Xenopus tropicalis: one gene and its partners. The main gene of each other region encodes a partner of the protein of the gene in region 2 in a complex. Links are inferred from orthologs where the notes say so. Each region holds a gene or a part of one and is shown on either strand. Other genes may lie near its edges. The genes, in order: rgma, bmp2, hjv, rgmb and bmpr1a.

Evidence for each region.
Region 1: the proteins of bmp2 (region 2) and rgma are in contact, whole or in part, in a crystal structure (PDB 4UHY), measured with the Homo sapiens proteins. The link is inferred for Xenopus tropicalis from reciprocal best matches to the Homo sapiens genes BMP2 and RGMA. Residues at the interface, in NP_001191.1 of Homo sapiens: Val308, Gly309, Trp310, Asp312, Trp313, Met371, Tyr373, Leu374, Asp375, Glu376, Lys383, Tyr385, Met388; in NP_064596.2 of Homo sapiens: Arg91, Arg94, Gly95, Leu97, His100, Ser101, His104.
Region 3: the proteins of bmp2 (region 2) and hjv are in contact, whole or in part, in a crystal structure (PDB 4UI1), measured with the Homo sapiens proteins. The link is inferred for Xenopus tropicalis from reciprocal best matches to the Homo sapiens genes BMP2 and HJV. Residues at the interface, in NP_001191.1 of Homo sapiens: Phe331, Pro332, Ala334, Asp335, Leu337, Asn341, Ile344, Val345, Leu348, Ser351, Val352; in NP_001366281.1 of Homo sapiens: Leu40, Asn43, Tyr46, Val47, Tyr86, Leu101, Ala102, Ser105, Ala106, His108, Gly109, Ile110, Asp112, Leu113.
Region 4: the proteins of bmp2 (region 2) and rgmb are in contact, whole or in part, in a crystal structure (PDB 4UI2), measured with the Homo sapiens proteins. The link is inferred for Xenopus tropicalis from reciprocal best matches to the Homo sapiens genes BMP2 and RGMB. Residues at the interface, in NP_001191.1 of Homo sapiens: Val308, Gly309, Trp310, Trp313, Met371, Tyr373, Leu374, Asp375, Glu376, Tyr385, Met388; in NP_001353437.1 of Homo sapiens: Lys97, Arg100, Gly101, Leu103, His106, Ser107, Leu110.
Region 5: the proteins of bmp2 (region 2) and bmpr1a are in contact, whole or in part, in a crystal structure (PDB 2QJ9), measured with the Homo sapiens proteins. The link is inferred for Xenopus tropicalis from reciprocal best matches to the Homo sapiens genes BMP2 and BMPR1A. Residues at the interface, in NP_001191.1 of Homo sapiens: Lys297, Pro330, Phe331, Pro332, Leu333, Ala334, Asp335, His336, Ser339, Asn341, Ile344, Val345, Leu348, Asn350, Ser351, Val352, Asn353, Ser354; in NP_001393490.1 of Homo sapiens: His66, Cys67, Pro68, Asp69, Ile77, Thr78, Asn79, Phe83, Ile85, Cys100, Met101, Lys102, Glu104, Gly105, Phe108, Gln109, Asp112, Arg120, Ile122.

What each region holds. Positions count from the first base shown.
Region 1 is NC_030679.2:112,524,092-112,527,688, reverse strand, and holds part of rgma (repulsive guidance molecule A), read left to right. Parts: intron 1-1,286; exon of another isoform or gene 1,287-2,013; coding exon of another isoform or gene 2,014-2,164; coding exon 2,165-2,679; intron 2,680-3,597.
Region 2 is NC_030681.2:25,399,359-25,402,978, reverse strand, and holds part of bmp2 (bone morphogenetic protein 2 precursor), read right to left. Parts: intron 243-3,620; coding exon 1-242. UniProt on the Homo sapiens protein: Growth factor of the TGF-beta superfamily that plays essential roles in many developmental processes, including cardiogenesis, neurogenesis, and osteogenesis. Induces cartilage and bone formation.
Region 3 is NC_030684.2:128,546,919-128,550,538, forward strand, and holds part of hjv (hemojuvelin), read right to left. Parts: coding exon 3,227-3,620; intron 2,443-3,226; coding exon 1,822-2,442; 3' UTR 1-1,821. UniProt on the Homo sapiens protein: Acts as a bone morphogenetic protein (BMP) coreceptor. Through enhancement of BMP signaling regulates hepcidin (HAMP) expression and regulates iron homeostasis.
Region 4 is NC_030677.2:176,215,738-176,219,973, reverse strand, and holds the start of rgmb (RGM domain family member B precursor), read left to right. Parts: upstream 1-1,380; 5' UTR 1,381-1,687; coding exon 1,688-1,808; intron 1,809-4,236. UniProt on the Homo sapiens protein: Member of the repulsive guidance molecule (RGM) family that contributes to the patterning of the developing nervous system. Acts as a bone morphogenetic protein (BMP) coreceptor that potentiates BMP signaling. Promotes neuronal adhesion.
Region 5 is NC_030683.2:49,342,381-49,346,000, forward strand, and holds part of bmpr1a (bone morphogenetic protein receptor type-1A), read left to right. Parts: intron 1-1,028; coding exon 1,029-1,125; intron 1,126-2,339; coding exon 2,340-2,478; intron 2,479-2,560; coding exon 2,561-2,753; intron 2,754-2,945; coding exon 2,946-3,243; intron 3,244-3,593; coding exon 3,594-3,620. UniProt on the Homo sapiens protein: On ligand binding, forms a receptor complex consisting of two type II and two type I transmembrane serine/threonine kinases.

The DNA of each region.
Region 1 (3,597 bases), on a different chromosome or scaffold from region 2:
CCAGTAGAGCTTACTATTTAAGGTCCCTATTACATTAACACATAATATTGGCAATGTTACCAGGAATCACTTAACCTGACTGTTTTTGGAATATGGGGATAAACCCCACGCCACCTGAGGGAGTACATACAGACACCTTGTAGATGCCCTGGCTGGAATTGAATCCTGGACCCCCAGCACTGATCTTCTCATTCTCGCTCTGATGCATAATTCCGTGGCTGCGGTGCCACACTCGGGAAATTTTTGGTGTGTTTTAGTTAATTCTGAAACCTTCCTAGAGTGTTAGTGCAAGTGTGGAAGATTTGTCAGTATGACTGAATGGGAACTACACCCCTACTGCTTGCTGCTTCCACTCGTCATTATCTATGGCTTCCAGGCACAGAGACCCATTTATTATAATTACTGTGAATCATTCAATTACTGAACAAATTGATGCTCTTGAGAGTAAAGTGAAAAAAAAAAAAAGCGTATGTTAGCAGAGTGCAAGGGGATGTACCTTTCAGGTTCTTAGGGGAGCAGAACCAGCGGCTCCTGGGGGCCCAAGAGTATAGAGGAGCCTGCACAGGCTGTGAATGATGTCCGGTTTGAATACTTGCATGGCAGACTGGCTCCAAAGTATAGGACCCCTGTAGTTGTATATCTACTGAGATCCCATAAGGTGCTGAGTGAGAACAGCAAGGGTTGTAGTGGGGCAGCGGTTGGCCCGTGGCTCAGCAGGCCACGTGTGTACGTGCGACAGAGGCCACAGGGAAGCTACAATATCACCAAGTGCACAACAGGAAGCCCTGGGCTGGGCAGCGGAACAGTTTACACCTCCCTCTATAGTTGCCCTTTAGTTCTTTTACAGTATATTTAAACTACAGAGGCAGCTTCTTTGTTTTGGCACCAACGCCTGCTCAGGTTATGCTTCTTCAGGCACAAACAAGCAATACAGAATGAGCTGTTCTGCAAATGCAATTCAACTGAAACTCCCAGACAGCCAGCCCCTGCTAGAATGGGATACAGAAAGCAGTCCCATAATGTGCTGTATTATTCCTGCACCCTAGATTCAAGCGGTGCTCTGCTCCCATTTATAAGATATAGTGGCTGCCCATAGGGGCCTGTATTGGGTGGGGGGAAAGCAGGCATGCATGCATTCACAAGCCCCTTGCTGTATAGGGAAACCCCGCAGTGAGGGTCCCCCCATGTTCAGCAGTGTCTCTCAGTTACAAAAAGCTGCCCTGCCGCCCCCTCCCAAGAACATATCTCCAAACATCCAGTAAGGTGTGTGGGGGTGGGTGTCAGGATTAGCACGGCCCTGCCAGGCGGGATGGCTCTTTATTGCCGGCTGCATTATACTGGCTGAGTGCAACTGGCTGACATTTGTACTTGGTCTGGCCCAATAAAGAAGGACTTATTGACTCGCTGCTGATTGTGCTAAATACACAGGCGCTGTCCGTGCTGGAGCTGCTTACTCTCCCTGAGCCCTCAGCTTCACAATAATTGTATTTGTGGTTGAGAAACAGTCTGCGGTGCAACAAAACAGCAATGAGTTTCATGTGCCCCTCGCTGCACTGCTGACCCTTCCACCATAGCATGGCCAGCCCCTTTCCTCCAGTCACTCACTATGGTAGGATGGTGCTAGGAGCGCTGTATGGATTCTGTATAATATACTGCTCTGGACAGGGTTTGGGCTTTTCCTGTCTTCCCATTCACTTTGAATAAGGGGAATTTTTAATGTTTTGCAACTCTTCCAATCCCATAGAGCAAAGTGCTAGGAGTTCCCCTCTGTGCCATTGTCATACTACCCTAGGTAACTGTGTCCGTTCTATGTACATAAAGCATCATACATACATCTGTATGTGTTTGGTGAGAGCTGCCACACTGGTTGCTCTAGCACGTATGTGTGACAATGCCTTTACAGACCCAGATGAATTCACTTCTCTTATAGAATGGTAACAGGCATGCTTGGCTCGGCTCAGCAATAGGTTATTTACTTGGGTTTGGCAAGAAATGGTGTTTTATTTTCTCTAAATGGTAAATATAATATCCTTTAAATACCAAGTAAGATTCCTGGAAACCAACCAGGAAGTGCTGATGTTTGTAAATGAGGGTGGCGTGAAGTTGCTCTATAGCATGTTGTGTGTCGGCTGGATGTTGACTCTCTGTATTTCTCTCCGCATAGTGAGCTCATCGTGCAAGATTTTGAAGTGCACTGCCGACTACTTGCAAGCGACTTCAAACCCACATCATCACGCAGGACCTGAGGACACAGTGGAGATCTGCACCGCACTGCGCACCTACGCCCACTGCAGCCGACGCACGGCACGCACTTGCAGAGGAGACCTTGCTTACCATTCAACTGTCCATGGCATTGATGACCTCATGAGCCACCATAACTGCTCCAAGGATGGCCCCACCTCTCAGCCACGCATACGCATCTTGCCTCCAGGGGACAGCCAAGAGCGCTCCGACAGCCCCGAAATATGCCATTATGAGAAAAGCTTCCACAGACCCTCTGCCCTTCCAAACTATACCCACTGTGGCCTCTTTGGAGACCCACACCTTAGGACGTTTTCAGACACTTTCCAGACCTGCAAAATACAAGGTGCTTGGCCCCTCATAGACAATAATTACTTGAATGTGCAGGTTACCAACACTCCCGTGCTTCCAGGATCAATTGCCACAGCCACCAGCAAGGTAAACACAACATATTTGCACATGATTATACCTCATTTCAAGGGTTGCCCCTGGGTTGCCAGGTAAAGCCGCTGAGTGACATTTGCAATATGTACTTTTCACACACCAATAGTCTTCCCAGCTGCCCATAAAGCTGCTATAGTGCTGAGACCTATTTTGTTATATATATTGACTTTCTTTAACAGCCGTACAGTGCTGTAGCAGAGACAGTGGCACTGGATATTTATAGAACACTTATATCCTATGGGCAGAGTTGTGCCCATTTCTACGATCTTTATTCAGATATAGATCTATGATTTCTGGGTCTGGCTTAACTCATGTCCCAGGCAACCAGCTGCTTCCTGTTGGGTCAACAAACCAAGGAAGCAGAAATAATGCCTCCCCGTAGCCCACAAGGCACATCCAGGCTTTAGTAACTTGCCTCTCATTGTCCTTTGTCACAGGGATGGATTAGTTTGGCCTACCTTAAGTCATTCACTTTGGAGCAGCTCACTATTTAGACTTCAGCAGCAATTTCCCTGATGGTATAACAGCCTTCCACAAACAGACTGCACATTAACTATTATAATGCAGTGTCCCCTCGCCTGTATCTGATTTCAGGAAGGCCCCTTGAAAGGGCAGCTTGAGCCACAAAGGTCCCTGCAAAGCCTTTATGGCAACTTTCTAAGGAAGATCAGATTGTGCGAGTAGGTTTCTTGTCAGCACTCACCTAAGGGGCAGATAAGGTGCAGCACTGAAAATGCAAATCATTTACATAAGCTTTTAATGACCTTTGGGCTGAGCAGTGATTTAGTAATAACAGGCCTAGCCTGTATTCATGTAAGTCATGCCCTGAGGAAATGCTAAACATATATATATGTGCTGTGAACTATCCCTATTCTCCTGTCACATCCAGCATTACCATTACCTATCAATTAC
Region 2 (3,620 bases):
CAGTCTGGTGTCCAATAGTCTTACAACGGGGCCCCGGGAGGCAGCCGCTGCTGGCTTGACAATATCATAAATATTAATCCGATGAAGTTTGCTGCTGTCACCCTCAAATGGCTCCTGGACCCCCTCTCGAAAAATCCGTAGCTCGGCAGAAGTGACCAGCTCCTCGTTCGGAACTGAAGAAAGGTTGAAGAAGAATCGTTGGATTGTTTTCTCGCCAGACTCGGGAATTTCTTCCATGGATTCTATTTTCAAAGGAAAAGAAGAAGTATTAGAAATAAAGGAAAGAAGTATAAACTTAAAACAGAATTATCTTGTGTTTAGTTTCACCATCTCTCTCTACTAATTGCAACCAGTGGAGTTAACCACCCCAAGCTTAAGCTGGCCATACACCTTAATATCAGCTAGTTTGTGAGGCTGACAAAAGAACAGATCTCTGCCTGATTTGGCCACCCATTGCTGAGCCAAAGCAGGATGATCCTATTTCAGGCCTAGGAAGACCTGTTGGACTAGACCAGAGATCCCCAACCTCTTACTCGTGAGCCACAGCCAAATGTAAAAAGACTTGGAGAGCAATACAAGTACCATAAAAGTTCATGGAGGAGCCAAATAAGGGCTAAGATTGGCTATTAGAGAGCCTCTATGCACACTATCAGCTTACAGGGGGCTTTATTTGGTAGGAAATCTTGTTTTTATTCAACCAAAACTTGCCCACAAGTCAGGAATTCAAAAATAACTCCCTGGTTTGGGGGCACTGAGAGGGGTTGGGGAGCAACATGTTGCCCTGAGCCACTGGTTGGGGATCACTGGACTAGATCAATGCACCAATGCAGTCCTTGCCTAACATGATTCTCAATCCAAAAGATATCTGGCCAGATATTGGTCAGATAGACGTACACAGGTCAAAAAAACTTACTACCATCTGCAAGCAGATTATAGCCATGTATGGCCACCTGACAATTTTAATGGAATTCCTAGATCATCATCCATAAAGAATCATTTAAAGACTGGTGCTTTCTATGCGACCTTTCAGATATCAGAATTTCACATGGACAGGTTTCTTTATAAACCTCTCCAAGGGTTTCCCTGCAACCTCACCTGGTATAAAAGCTATAAATGATTTACGGTTAGAAAATTGTAAGCTTTCACTTCATTCACGCTTCTGTTTACATCTCAGATCAGAATAAAAAAAAAAATATGTTTATTTTTGTAACTGAATAGACTCTTCCATAACTCTTTTTGGTTGTATTTTGGCGTTCATTTATTACAGTTCTCTCTACTTTTATTCTTTTTCTAATTGTGGCAGACATAAAACACCCAGGCAATAACTTAGAAAGCACTACATTACCGATTTCCTAAAAACTCAGAAACAGCAATCCAAACAGCCTTAGGAAGTGGGGGAATTAGTGGTGCCTGTGGTAGCAGACATTACAGGACATCCTGTGGGCTACTTGCAAGAGAAGTCTGCAGAATGTATGCAATTTCACCCCCTCTGGTTTGTTCAGTTGTTTATTTGAAATCTGCAGATAAATTAGGTTGGGGGGGGGCACTAGGATATTTCTTATTTTCATACTCAGACTCACAAATACCACCATTAAATACATTCCATAATGTCTGCTGCATGATGGTTGCTTTCATGACTGGGAGTAACGCTATAAAAAAGGTACTGGTACGATTTGCTATGTTTTCTAATATAAGAATCTGGCCCATTAGTTTCTCTTCAGTGTGATTGGTAGCCCACACTGTATATATTTCAATGGCATTCTCTCAAACTGCAGCAATTAGAAACTATAAAATGGCTACAGCTGTTAGTTGTTCGACGTTACATAAGATGCCAGTGTGTTGGCAAGACCAAAAAGACATGCAGGTTGAAAACATGATATATGTTGTCCATCACATACTTTGAATTAATTAGCAGCAGTCCAGCCTTGCTTTAGGATTGTAATTCTTCCAAAGTTACAAGTCACAGAACCGTTATAAGCAAACTTCATGGGCCTCAGAAGGATCAATCAGGAGACTAATGGTCAAAGGAATTCATACGTTATGGTAGATGTGATGTTATAGTCAATATGGGGTGACGCCTATCAAAATACTGGGTAATAATATAAATATAAAGTGGCCATACACCATAAGAGCCACTCCTTTGGAGAGGTCACCAAACGAGTGAATCTTTCCACTGACAAGCCCACCTAAGGAGGGCAATCTCTGAGTAATCCATTCGCTTGGCCCAAGGGCCACAGATCTAATTACAATGATGGAAATAGGATCCGTTGGAGTGATGACTGCATCAATGAACCAATGCGGTCCCCAATCCAATGGAAAAAAATCAAACCTGCTTGATAGACATCTGGGCAATACTGACGACCCCCCCATCTTCATGTGATGTCAGGCCAGTAGCTATATGCAGCCCTCAATGGTAACCATGCTGAAACAAAATCATTGTAGTTTGGCTAGTGACCTTCCTAGTTACGCAAAGATTTCCCCACAAGGGCACAAGAAGAAAAGCAGCCCAACTTATTGTAGCGTAAACATCATGAAAGGAAATTTTTATTGGCGCTGCAGTAAAGTGTAATTAGGGGCACATTTAAGAAGTTCAACAAAAACAATAGGAGGGCTTGTGGCTAGGAGTTAACTGCTTACAGCACTGTATAGTTAGTTTACATGCAGTTCTAGAAGGGTGTAGACATCAGACATACAAATACAGGAGATAAGGAGGGCCCTGCTCATCAAAGCTTGCATTCCCAAAGGATACTAATAATTTATGAGAAATGCCAGCTATATGGACTATATGATTCAGGCTAAAACAAAGGGGTGCAAGTCAGGAGATCAAAAGCATATAGGACGTTTGTCATTGGAGTGTTTGCTGTTGAGCAGCACAAGAACAAATATCTCTGAAAGCGAAGAATTCTGTACAGCAAAGGACTGTGAGAAAGATATGTGAGATGACAACTGTATTACACTAGAATGAAAAGTGTTCCAAAACCACAAGGCATGATGATCACAACATGCCACCTCTATCTGCCAGCTATTGGGCATACTTACCCATAAATTTCTTCCCTGATTCAACCTAATGACTCATGCTGTCTATCCCTCCATGCATGAGTCACTAACTGGAAAGCAGAATCGGATTTACTCTACCGCAATTTGGTTACTCTACATTATATAACTATAGAACAGTCACCCAAGGAATAATATAGCTAAGGCTAATTACCCCTCAAAAAAGTGGTAACAGGAGTTGTGGAACAGGACGAGCCTACAGATTTGTTTAGCTGTAAGTTGTAGCTGCTTCTTTGCCAGATGCCAAGACCTTTCGTAGGGAATTCCACCCAGCTGCTTCCCATAAAAGCTCAAAGGCAGCTGGCACAACTATACTGAGGCAGAACCATCTGATCCACACTCAATCTTATGGTCAACTGAAGACCATGGCAAGCCTAGAAGGGCATCACGAGCATTAGCATATATAGTGTTTTCATTTAAGTCTATTGTGTCTTTTTCACTACTACTGAGGAGACATACAAATTCCATGGAGCACTAAGCATTCATTCATAAAATCTGGAATTATTTTTGCAGGTGTGTAGGCCCACAGACCCACTATCTGTCTGCGCATACACTGAATGTCTAGC
Region 3 (3,620 bases), on a different chromosome or scaffold from region 2:
TTCTACATTAGAGAAGGAAAAGAGAACCACAAATACAGCGCTCCAACTTACCCCACACTGTCCCCCCTATTAATTTAACATATAAAAACAAATCTCACAAAAAAATAGAACCCATTTTTAATAAAACATTCAACCTCAATATATTAAATATTTCTGTCCAGGCAACCGATACTTATCTACAGTGGTTTAACCCCAGTGCTGCTGGATCGTACCATTTGCACAGATATTCTCTGTACTTTTAATGCTATTGAAATGCCTTGCGCTAATAATACACGCTAATAAATCTGCTACAACCGTCTTGTCGCTCAGGTTTCATAAGGTTTATGCTATGAACTGTCGCCACCTGGTGGTGAGAGACCAGTGCAGCCTTACTGGACCACAATAGGGCCGGATTGGAAATGTGGGATTTAATGGTTCATTCTCATTTTAGATTTTTGAACTCAGATAAGTGCAGGCAGGTTGAACTCCATGGATGGTCTTTTTTCAACCTAAAATATGTATATATGTTAACATATTACTATGTAATGTAAACTCACTCTGTGTGCTCCTCTGAGCATTTTTGCAATTTGTATTAATAAACTCTCTTCTAGTGTTCAACGTATTATTAGTTTTAACACTGCTATATGATATATTATATATAAAAAACCACCTGCTGTTAATTTTCAATGACTGGACACAGTCGGTGTAAAATGAAGTGAAAAAAGGAAAAGTTTTGCATTGTCGCTACCCTTAGAACCAACCAGAGAAACATCAGATGACTCTTCTGTGCTCACTTACTGAATTTTCTGAGCAGAACAACATCACAAGGCTTTCCATTTTTCACTAACTTCATGTTTCAGTTGGTCTACATTACCAACAGGTGGCGCACAGCATCATATTAGTAGTATGAAAAGTGCCACTATCTCGTAAACTAGAAAATATTAAATGTAAATTGCAAAAGTGCTCAGAAGAGCAACTATACGGTAAGTTGTTTTTTAGGGTTTCATTTGCTTTACTCAATCTAAAAAGACAGCAACAAGGATCTGAAATGTTGATGTGCAGTTCCATAAATGACTATTGAAGTGTATTGTGCCTTAGTTATATGGGACTGGTTTGTACATGCTACAAGTCATCGCCCTATAGTTGTGCCCGATAGGAAGAATTCCATTTACAGCCCTGTTTGCCTGACCACTCCTTCAATGATGTCAGGCCACACCCCTTCTGGCTCCTTATTAGGGCTTTATAGAACAATGGGAGGGCTGTGGGAGGTGATAAAGATGTTTGCAAACCAGTGAGAGATAATGGCTGCTTGGGCAAAACCATCATTTTACAAGAACATGGTGGAAAATAAACTGCCCTATTAAGCTATATTTTCCTGCTAAGCCAACAAACATTCTAAATATAAAATATAAATATATATATATATACTTTCAGATTTAGGAAGGTGCATTTTGAAATAGTTTTTTTTGTGAAAGGGCATATAGTCTGTGCCCTTTATCCCCCCTACTTGAAGACCTAATATTTATATATATATAGGTGTTTGTGTGATAAAGTTCCGTAATGACATTGGCCATTGTGATTTGGATCAGTGGTGACATAGAACATCCAGAAGAACATCCAAAAGGGTTTTTATGATAAATAGTTTGGGATTTAGAGTCTTTCTGGCAGAGGCGTGATATGTACAATAGGCCCTGAGATGTACAATAGCTGTGCCTAAAGGAATTGCACCAGAACTGACGGCAATCCTATCAGTTTCAATGATCTAGCTTCTGCCAAACATTGGGTCCACCATCTTCACATTTGTGTCCAGGCCTTTGTTTGCAACATGCAACGCCCAAATAGCTACAGGTTCTGCACGGTGTTAGCCAGGCACAGCAGAAGTATTAAGGCAACAGGTATATGCCGACCATTTGCTGCTCCTGTGCTGAATATATGTAACATTCCTGGTTCAGGGAGAAAGTCTTTGGCATCCTCCAAGGCATAGTAGGCTGCATTTGTCATGTTGGCATCTCCAGATATGGCCACATCAAACACACAAGACTGGAAATAAGCATCCTCAACTGGGAGTTTCGCTCTACACATAGATTTGGCCTTGTCGGTGCTGATAGAGCTTGTCCTACCAACATCCTTAGTCCTAGATATGAATTGGCTAGCTGGGCATCCTCCCATGCATAGCTGCAAGTCCTGTTCCTCTTGGAAAGCCAATGAGATGTCCTCAGGCATGCGCAGGGAGAATGAAAGCTGCTTGGCCAACTGGCGAACTCGTATGGTGGTTCCAATATAAGGGGCCTCGATCTCTATTAAGCTCCCGGGCTCCCTGTCGTAAATCTTAAGGTTACTTCCACCCGCTCGTCTACCTCCATTGACTGAGCCATCATCGAAGGCTGCTGGTAAGTTGTCCACTTCAGCTTGGTAAACCTTCTGATCTATGCACTGCTTCATGTTTTTGAAGATGATGGTGATCTATGAGAATAAATAAAGCATCATTATGGAGAATAACAAGAAAACAATACCTCTGTAAATCCAGGTTTATGTGTAAAAATGCCTGTCCTGCTTGTAGTGGGTATAAACAACCGCAAAAAATCCTCTGCACTCACCCATTATCAATATATAGAAATAGGACATTAGGACATGTCCTAATGTCCTATTTCTACATATTGATAATGGGTGAGTGCAGAGAATTTTTTGCGGTTGTTTATATGTATTTTGTGGTCACAGCCTCATTGCACCAACGCCTAATGGTTGACAATTTAGTGGTTGAGCACAACTTTCCCTTTTTCTTGTCTGCTTGTAGTGGGCCCTAGGGAGCTTATTTGGCTTCTAATGGTGGCTTCTCTAACAAGGTCCAGCTTTGAAACTCCTGCAATGTTCTACAGGAAGGGGACAGTGTTCAGCTGCTGGAAAGGAATTTAGATCAACTTGGTTGGGTAGACTAGAGCATCTACCAAAGACTGGATCCACGTTAATATCTCCTGGATACAGGCCCATTATCAATTAGAATAACTATCATGGTAGAACCTAAGGGAGGTTTTGGAAGACCTTAGGGAATTTGCAAATATTAGCCCTGTTATGACGTCCTAGGAATGATGACATAAGGCTTTTGAAAACCAACAGCGCAACCTAGGGGTAGTTATTGCCCAAACCTAAACCACACTGAAGTCATTTAAAAAAAGCCCTGTAGATGGTGTTTTTTTGCCATGCTTGCTTTGAATGAAGTTCATAGGGACGAATCTGCAATGGTTTTTACCTTAGTAGTAACTGTGGCATTGGACATAGTGGAGAGTGGTGAGCTGGTTGCTTGGACAAACAGGTATTCATTATCCAACAGAGGCCATGACCCGTTCACTCGACACGTCTGAAAGTCACCACTAAAAGTGCGTACATGAGGGTCCCCAAACACCCCACAGTGGAGATACTTTGGAATCTTGCCATGCTTCTCGCGGAAAGTTCTCTCATAATCACAGGCCTCCTGTTTCCTGGGGCCTTCGGGGCGAGGCTGGGGAGGTTGGGGCCTGGGTGATGCTGTAGGCCCCTCTTTGGAACAGTTGTGCTGAATCATGAGATCTTCAATGATGTGCACTGCAGAGTGGTAGATCAGGTCTCCGCGGCAGGTGCGGGCAGTTTTGCGGGTACATTGGGAA
Region 4 (4,236 bases), on a different chromosome or scaffold from region 2:
AATAGAATTAACCAACTCTTCTTTTGATACAGGCAAGTGAGAGGGCCATAGGGTTGCCACCTTGCCAGCAGGCCCGGACCGGCAATCTGAGGATTCTGGCAAATTGCAAATGGGATGCTGTGAGATGCCATAGACAGACACTATTTAGTTGGCTGGTGGGGTGGGGAGCTGTTTGAGCCACTGTGTAGGCCAATTGGATTGTAAGCTCTATGGGGCAGGGACCTCCATTCTCTTGTTTCTTCGATTCTTATTTTATTGCAACTGTACCTTGTATTTATTTGTATTTCTATCATATTTTGTACTAATCTTTTATTTTAATAACCCCCTGTACTAATTTCTTGTTTTACTGTACAGCCATGCATACACATGTAGTGCTTTATAAATAAAGATATACATACATGCATACATACATACAAATGCCAAGGTTTACTTTAAATCCCAGTCCAGATCGGCTGGTCAGTAGTATTAATATCTGGCTGAATGTTTAATTCCAATGTTATTAATACAAAAAGAATGGAAAAGCTGGTATTTTTTTTAGAAAAAGTAGCAACCCTGCCCATGTTTACTCTGCCAGTCTGCACACGAAGTAATGGGTTGGCCCTTCTAAAGTTCCTTATGTGTTACATGGTACATGTGGGAAAGCTGCAGGGCACTGACAGTACTACAACTCTCAACCGCCTCAGTGCACTTCTGCCAAAGTGAATGTAGCAAGGACATACTGTTTCCAAGGGATTAGGGGCCCCTATTATTAGATATAGTCAAGGGCTCAAATAGGAAAGGGGGTGAAAGAGTTACTTCAAATTGGCCAACGCTATCCGCCCCAGAATAGCAAGTTACATAATGCCCACAGCTGGAGGGCCACAGGGGTATCTCTCATGCTAACAGTAAACATGTATGAGAAATTGTTACCCAGCGTTACATAGCGTGTGGGAGTTACGTTGCATCTTCCCTAAGGAGCCCCTGGCCAGTGGGGGACCCAGGTCAAATTTCTGGTCTAACACTTAGTTCCCTACACACTAAAACAGACCGTGGGCCTAATACAGTAGCTGAAGGCCGCTTTTCACGGCCAGGATAATAGAGCTGCAACTGCTGCTGAACTTCAGCTCTCCCATGGATGCTCTGAACTCAGCAATAAGTCACAGCCCCGTCTCAGCCCTGAGTTCACTGCTGTACAGAGTAACAGCCCAACCCCATTCGCTTGCTCTCTGCTCTACAACCACGCCCATTCCAGTGACTTGCTCAGCAAGGTGATGATTGACAGCACACTTCTGCCCAATGGCATCGAGCGGAGTGGGCGGGGCAAGACTAGTGAGAGTGCTGAGCACGGCTTGTTCCCGGGAGGGGGATCGGGAGAGGGCGCCGCCCAGTCAGTCTCAGCCACAAGCCTCCTGTCCCTTCCTGCATAGTCCGTGAGCTGCCGGCGCTACAGCGGGACATCCTGCTTCTTGTAACCGTGTTCCCTTCTCTCTCTCTCCCGCTCCCTTTGTTTCTCATTATGTGTCACATCGTTCCCATCTGACGTCACTCGCACCGTCCCATTATCCCTGTACGATCCCTGTTCCCTGTGCATCCATGTTTTCTTAAAACTTTGACGCAATCGTTAAGGAAGAAGAGGAAAAGAGCCGTCCGCCTTGGTACGAGCAGCTGTCACCCCGGCATTGGGAGCCCGGCACTGCCACCTGAATGGATGGGCATGGGGAAAAGGGCCGGACTCTCTTACCCCGGGGCTGAGCGGCTGCCCCCGCCTGTCGCAGCCCTGCACCTCCCCGTACTGCTGCTGCTGCTGCTGGCTCTTTGGGGGGACACAGGTAAGCACTCTCTTACTAGCGCTGTGCGAGTCTCTTTAGCGCTGTGCGAGTCTCTTTAGCGCTGTGCGAGTCTCTTTAGCGCTGTGCGAGTCTCTTTAGCGCTGTGCAAGTCTCATTAGCGCTGTGCAAGTCTCATTTACAGCTGGCGAGGATTGCAGTTCAGCAACAACTGTGTGGGCGCAATAGGGCGAAGCAATTTAGCAGACGCCAGGGAGGTTCAACCTGCCTATATTTTGCCGAACTTAAGTACCCAAACTGGACTCCTAGGACCTAATGATCCCCACATAGTCACCCTCCCCCCCGTGTTCGGCTGAACTGCAACTCCCATTTGTCTGGAGATGCCAGACGGGTTGTTCAGTAACAGCCAGAGAGCTGCATGTTGAGCATCCGTGTCTAATGCTGTTATGTTCAGTGCCAAGTCCTTTTGTTGTAGTAACAGTTTATGGCTGGATCAGGTTTTGGCTGCTGCAGAACCTCTTGCACAACCAAGCTGTTGCACTTTTTCCTGGAAGTCCTTATACAGGTATAGGGCCGTTATCCAGAATGCTCGGGACCAAGGGTATTCCGGATAAGGGGTCTTTCCGTAATTTGGATCTCCATACCTTAAGTCTGCTAGAAAATCAATAAAACATTAATTAACCCCAATAGGATTGTTTTGCATCCAATAAGGATTATTTATATCTTAGTTGGGATCAATTACAAGGTACTGTTTTATTACAACAGAGAAAAAGGAAATCTGTTTTAAAATTCTGAATTATTTGATTAAAATGGAGTCTATGGAAGACGGGCTTTCCGTAATTTGGAGCTTTCTGGATAATGGGTTTCCGGATAAGGGGTCCGATACCTGTAATAACTGAAGATTAACACAACCATTGTCCCTGTAGCCTGTCCCACCTTCTATGCTGGAGAAATGTATTTGTTACTGTGTATGAATATCTTTATGCCATTGCTCCATGAGAAGGTGCTTCTGTCAGTGACTGGTGTTAGGCTTTGGTAATGCCAAGGTAGCCATGGTCTGCGCCATGTGAGATGAATGGATACCTACTATCCCATAGTGTGGCTAACTGGAACTGCGGGATTGTCTCTAAATTTGGCTGGCTAAACCTTAAAGGAAATTACATAGGTCCTGTATGACAGTAAGGAAGTACATAAATGTACCTGCACACCCTGGGCATCTCCCTCGTCAGTAACGTGAACTTGTCAGACTTACACCCACATTGCTTATATGGAGCTTATACTGCGTTTATTGGGATATATATGGGGGCAATGCAAGGTTCCAAGGTGGTCAGACACAGGGAGGATAAGATCCGTGTTGCATTGTACCTGTTTGCATCCACATAAATAGGGTAAATTACCCACAAATTACAATCAAGCCTGTGTTTAATTTTTCTGGTTTAGGGGTATCCATTTTCATTTGGTTAATAATGGGCTCATATTGTAAGTATCAGGAGGGCAAAACCCTTGTCACTTGTCCTGTAACACCTTTCCATCCAGGGGCAGCTGGCAGGCTGCATGCAGACACCTCCCTAAATTTTATATGTCCCAAAAAGGGGACCAAGGCTTCTTTAAATCAGTGCCACCCTTACTCATTTATTGCAGTTAATCAACATCATTTGTGAAAGTCTGGCATTTTAGCTCCCACCCAACATGTAACAAACTGTCAGTTAAAGCCACACAGGTGACAGTGGAGTGCACTGCCCCTTAACCATTGATGGCTTTTAATAGATTACAGTGGGAATTACTGTAACTAGTAACAGGCTGAAATTATTGGTGGAAGGTGGGTGGCAGACAGTTAGCTACTCTTCCATGATTTTGGCCAAAAGAAAAATCATGGAAGTCAGTATGCTTGCCAATGTACTTCTTTAATTTGACAGTTAAAGGGCAAATACAACTTAATATCTGCATCTGAAAGTGCAGAAAGTTCACTTATCAGTCCCGCAGGCATGTCCAAGTGGGCACCATGCAATGATCACAGGCTGTGGTACTTGGAAACACTATAACAGTGAAGGCCGGGCTGAAGAAAACATGAACTTTTATTCTGAAGAAACCTGCAATACTTCATTAAAGGGGATTTAACAAAAAAGCCAATGTTACCTCATGAAAGAAATAGTAATTTTTAAATGTAAATATAACTACTATAAAAAAGCAGCATCTGTCCCTTTCTGTTCTGTGCCCTGGTGATTTTGACTTTAGAAACAATGTAGCAGCAGCCAGCCGAAGAAGCATATAAGGCTGACCTCCTACTGCTACATTGTTTTAAGAGACAAAGCCAGCAGTACAGAAACTACAAATAACCCCAAAATAAACGTCAATGTATTTTAGAAAGTTGCTTACACCTTTTTCTACTATAAGACAAAATGTAAATTTTGGTTTTATATCCCCTGAACATGCTCTGTGGACTATGCTTTGTTACAAATGCTTTGCTCCC
Region 5 (3,620 bases), on a different chromosome or scaffold from region 2:
GTGAAAGAGTTAAATTCTAACAAAACCTACTAACACAAAAGCAGCAGTTTGTTTCGGTTTGTTTAGGGTTGCAGTAGATCCATGCCCTTTAATTGACAGTAAGTTTATGTGCACACACATGCTTTCAAATATTCAGATTTGAAAGCAAAAACATTAGGTCAATATTAAGGGGCCAATTTATTAAAACACGAGTTCGAATCCCAAATGGGAAAAATTCGGATTGGATACAATAATTTCTAAAGAAATGCTTACGAAATAATCGTATTAGTCACGATAATATCGTATTGGCGATCCGAAAGATTGTAAACAGCAGCAGAACCTTTCCGAATTTTTCGTGCAAGCGTACGAAAAAGTTACGCAAGCATACGAAAAAAATACACGGAGCATTCGTGTCTTGATAAATCTCCTAAGTGTCCGCAATTCTTTAGATTCGTTTTGTATTGTGTTGCTATATTGCTTTAAAAAACTTAGATGCAAAAAATGGAAAACTGGAATAAATGCCTGTGAGCATTGCAATTTACTTTATATTAAATCTTAAATGCATGAACCCTAAGGGCTGTGTCACACCCAGGCAATTTCTTTACCAGCATACTTGCGCCAGGTGTGAAAATAACAATCCGATTTCTTTTTCCCCAACATCACTGTGCACTGAATGACAGTTCTGGCGTTGGCCTGTTAATGCCCAATGGGGTAGATTTTGGAATGAAAATACAAACTTAAGCTTTCTGCACTGAAATCCACTCCATCTGTTCACAATTAGGCTAATACAGCACTGATCAGTGCACAGTAATGTGGAGATAGAGGACACATTTTGGCATTTACATCCCTGGCATAAATATTCTGGTGATGTGAGGGCAGAGCTTTTTATTAGTACTTTGCATTTATTACATTAGTATTTCCATACACATGGTTAAACCAGAGACCAGCTATGCAGACGTGTTATATGCAAACTGACCTTATGCTTATGTAGCAGAACTGAAACCACTGGAGAGGACATTTGAGATGACATTTTTCTTTCATTGTTTCAGATGCAGAATATGGTTTGCGCTTCATTGCTCTTATCATTTCGTTGGTGGTCTGTGTGATTATTATAGCCGGCTTCATTCTTATCATTTGGCTTTACAAGTAAGACATTATTTGAATAGTATTGAATTATTTGTTGTTGTTCTTTACCTGTGTGTCTTGGACTTTGTACAATGATTATTTTGTGTTGTAGCTCACTACATAAACCTGGGGTGATTATTGATATTGCTACTGTATTACAGTAGTCACTGATGATTGCACCCTTATTTATAGTAGTTGCAGTAAGTAGAATATGAACTGATTTGCTTGTCATTGACTCAAACATATAATACTATTGTTTACTGGGCACAGATACACCAGTTAGTTTAAATTAGCCAAATGGGATGTAACTGTATTTGTCAACAACTGTAGTGACTGCATACTGTTCTTTACATAGTTACTGTTAAGAAAAAGGCCAATAAATTAGGATTATGTCAGTACAGGTGTGGTATCTATCTAAGCTCTGCATGGATTAATTTAATGCAATGCAAAATATTAAAGGGGCTGTTCACCTTTAAGTAAACTTTATTATGATTTAGATAGTAGTATTCTGAGACAATTTTCAATGTTTTTCATTTTCCATTCAGGAGCTCTCTAGTGTGGTGGTTCAGCATTTTTTTGGTAACTAGGGTCCAAGTTACCTTAGCAACCAGGAAATGGTTGGGAAGAATGACTTGTATATGAATAGGAGAGGGCCTGAATAGAAAAGAAAGCTACAAAAAGTAACAACAGCAAAACTGTAACCTCACAGAGCAAATACTTTTTTGGCTGGTGGGGTCAGTGTTTTCCATTCAGAAACTTCAAAGAGTTGCAAGAAAAATGTGAATAATTCAAAAACTAAAATAAATAATGAATGCCATTTGAAAAGTTAATAAACCATAACTATTCTAATTATGTGACAGGACAGCAGTGCTGGAATTTTTTAACAGTTGAGTTGAGGTTTGCCATTTATTGTTACTATCATCTCTTTGTAATTAGAATTCTATATATTGTGCATGTCACTTTTTGCCACAAACAATGGAGGTACTTCTCTCTTTCTGCCTTCTTTGTTTTTAAGGGTTACGAATTGATTTTAAAATTTATAGCCAATAAATAGTGATAGTGTACTTCATAAAGCATGTTACGTTTTGCAGTATCTAAGCACTGATAAGAGAATAGTCCAGTTTTAGCCCCTGGGTGCCCTTTTTCTTGTACATATATAATTGAGAGTGATTTATATTAGTGCCTATGTATATTGGTGCAATCACCTTGGACATACAAGTGTAATTTTTTTACAGACATAAACTGCATTCCCAAAGGATGCTATATAACAGGAATTTGGACCCCGATGATGCCTTTATACCTGCAGGGGAGTCCCTTAAGGCTCTTATTGATATATCACAAAGCTCTGGTAGTGGCTCTGGGCTGCCTTTATTGGTAAGTATAAATTTCTTTTAACTTCTTTTTTGTTGTTATTGATAATACATTTATTTAATCATGTGATGCTTTAAATCTGTAGGTGCAGCGTACTATAGCGAAGCAGATCCAAATGGTTAGACAGATAGGAAAGGGAAGGTATGGTGAAGTATGGATGGGAAAATGGAGAGGAGAGAAGGTGGCTGTCAAAGTGTTCTTTACTGCTGAAGAAGCCAGCTGGTTCCGGGAAACTGAAATCTACCAAACTGTCCTCATGCGACATGAGAATATACTTGGTAAGTGCATAAGGAACACTCTACCCAGTCTACTCAGCCCTGTACTATGTAGACATTGCATAGCCTTATATTATTATAACTTGTAACCACATTTATAAAGACTTAAATAAGCACCTTAATATAAGATTGTATCAAGGGAGCTAATGGCCATAAGATAAATACATTTTTTTTTTTTTTTTTTTTCATTTTTAGGTTTCATAGCAGCTGATATTAAAGGAACAGGCTCATGGACACAAATGTACCTAATAACAGAGTATCATGAAAATGGATCATTGTATGACTTCCTTAAGTGTACCACTCTGGATACTAGATCTTTACTCAAGCTTGCTTATTCAGCAGCCTGTGGATTATGTCACCTCCACACTGAAATATATGGCACTCAAGGAAAACCTGCCATTGCACACAGGGATCTGAAAAGTAAAAACATACTTATAAAAGAAAATTGGACATGCTGCATTGCTGACCTGGGACTTGCAGTAAAATTTAACAGGTATGCTGTGTCTCGCTCTGTGTTCACAACTGAGGTTACGTATGCTGTGGTACAGTACAGTATGAAAAGTGCAGCTACAGGCAAACATTTCACTATAAGGTGTCTTGTATATTTATTTTATTAAAAGATGTTTTGTTCAAGGTGTCCCCAGCTGTTTTCAAGCGCTTCTTCCAGCCTCTGTAGCTGAATAAATAAGATTTTCTACAAAATAACAGAATATGTTACGTTCACTTTTTTCAAGTTATAAAAACATTTTTTGTAGAGAAAACCCACCCTAGCCATCTTATTTGTGCAGTTTAACAAAAAGAAGTGGCATTGTCTCTTACTGTTCCCTTAATGTTACTTCTTAGTGATACACATGAAGTTGATATACCCCT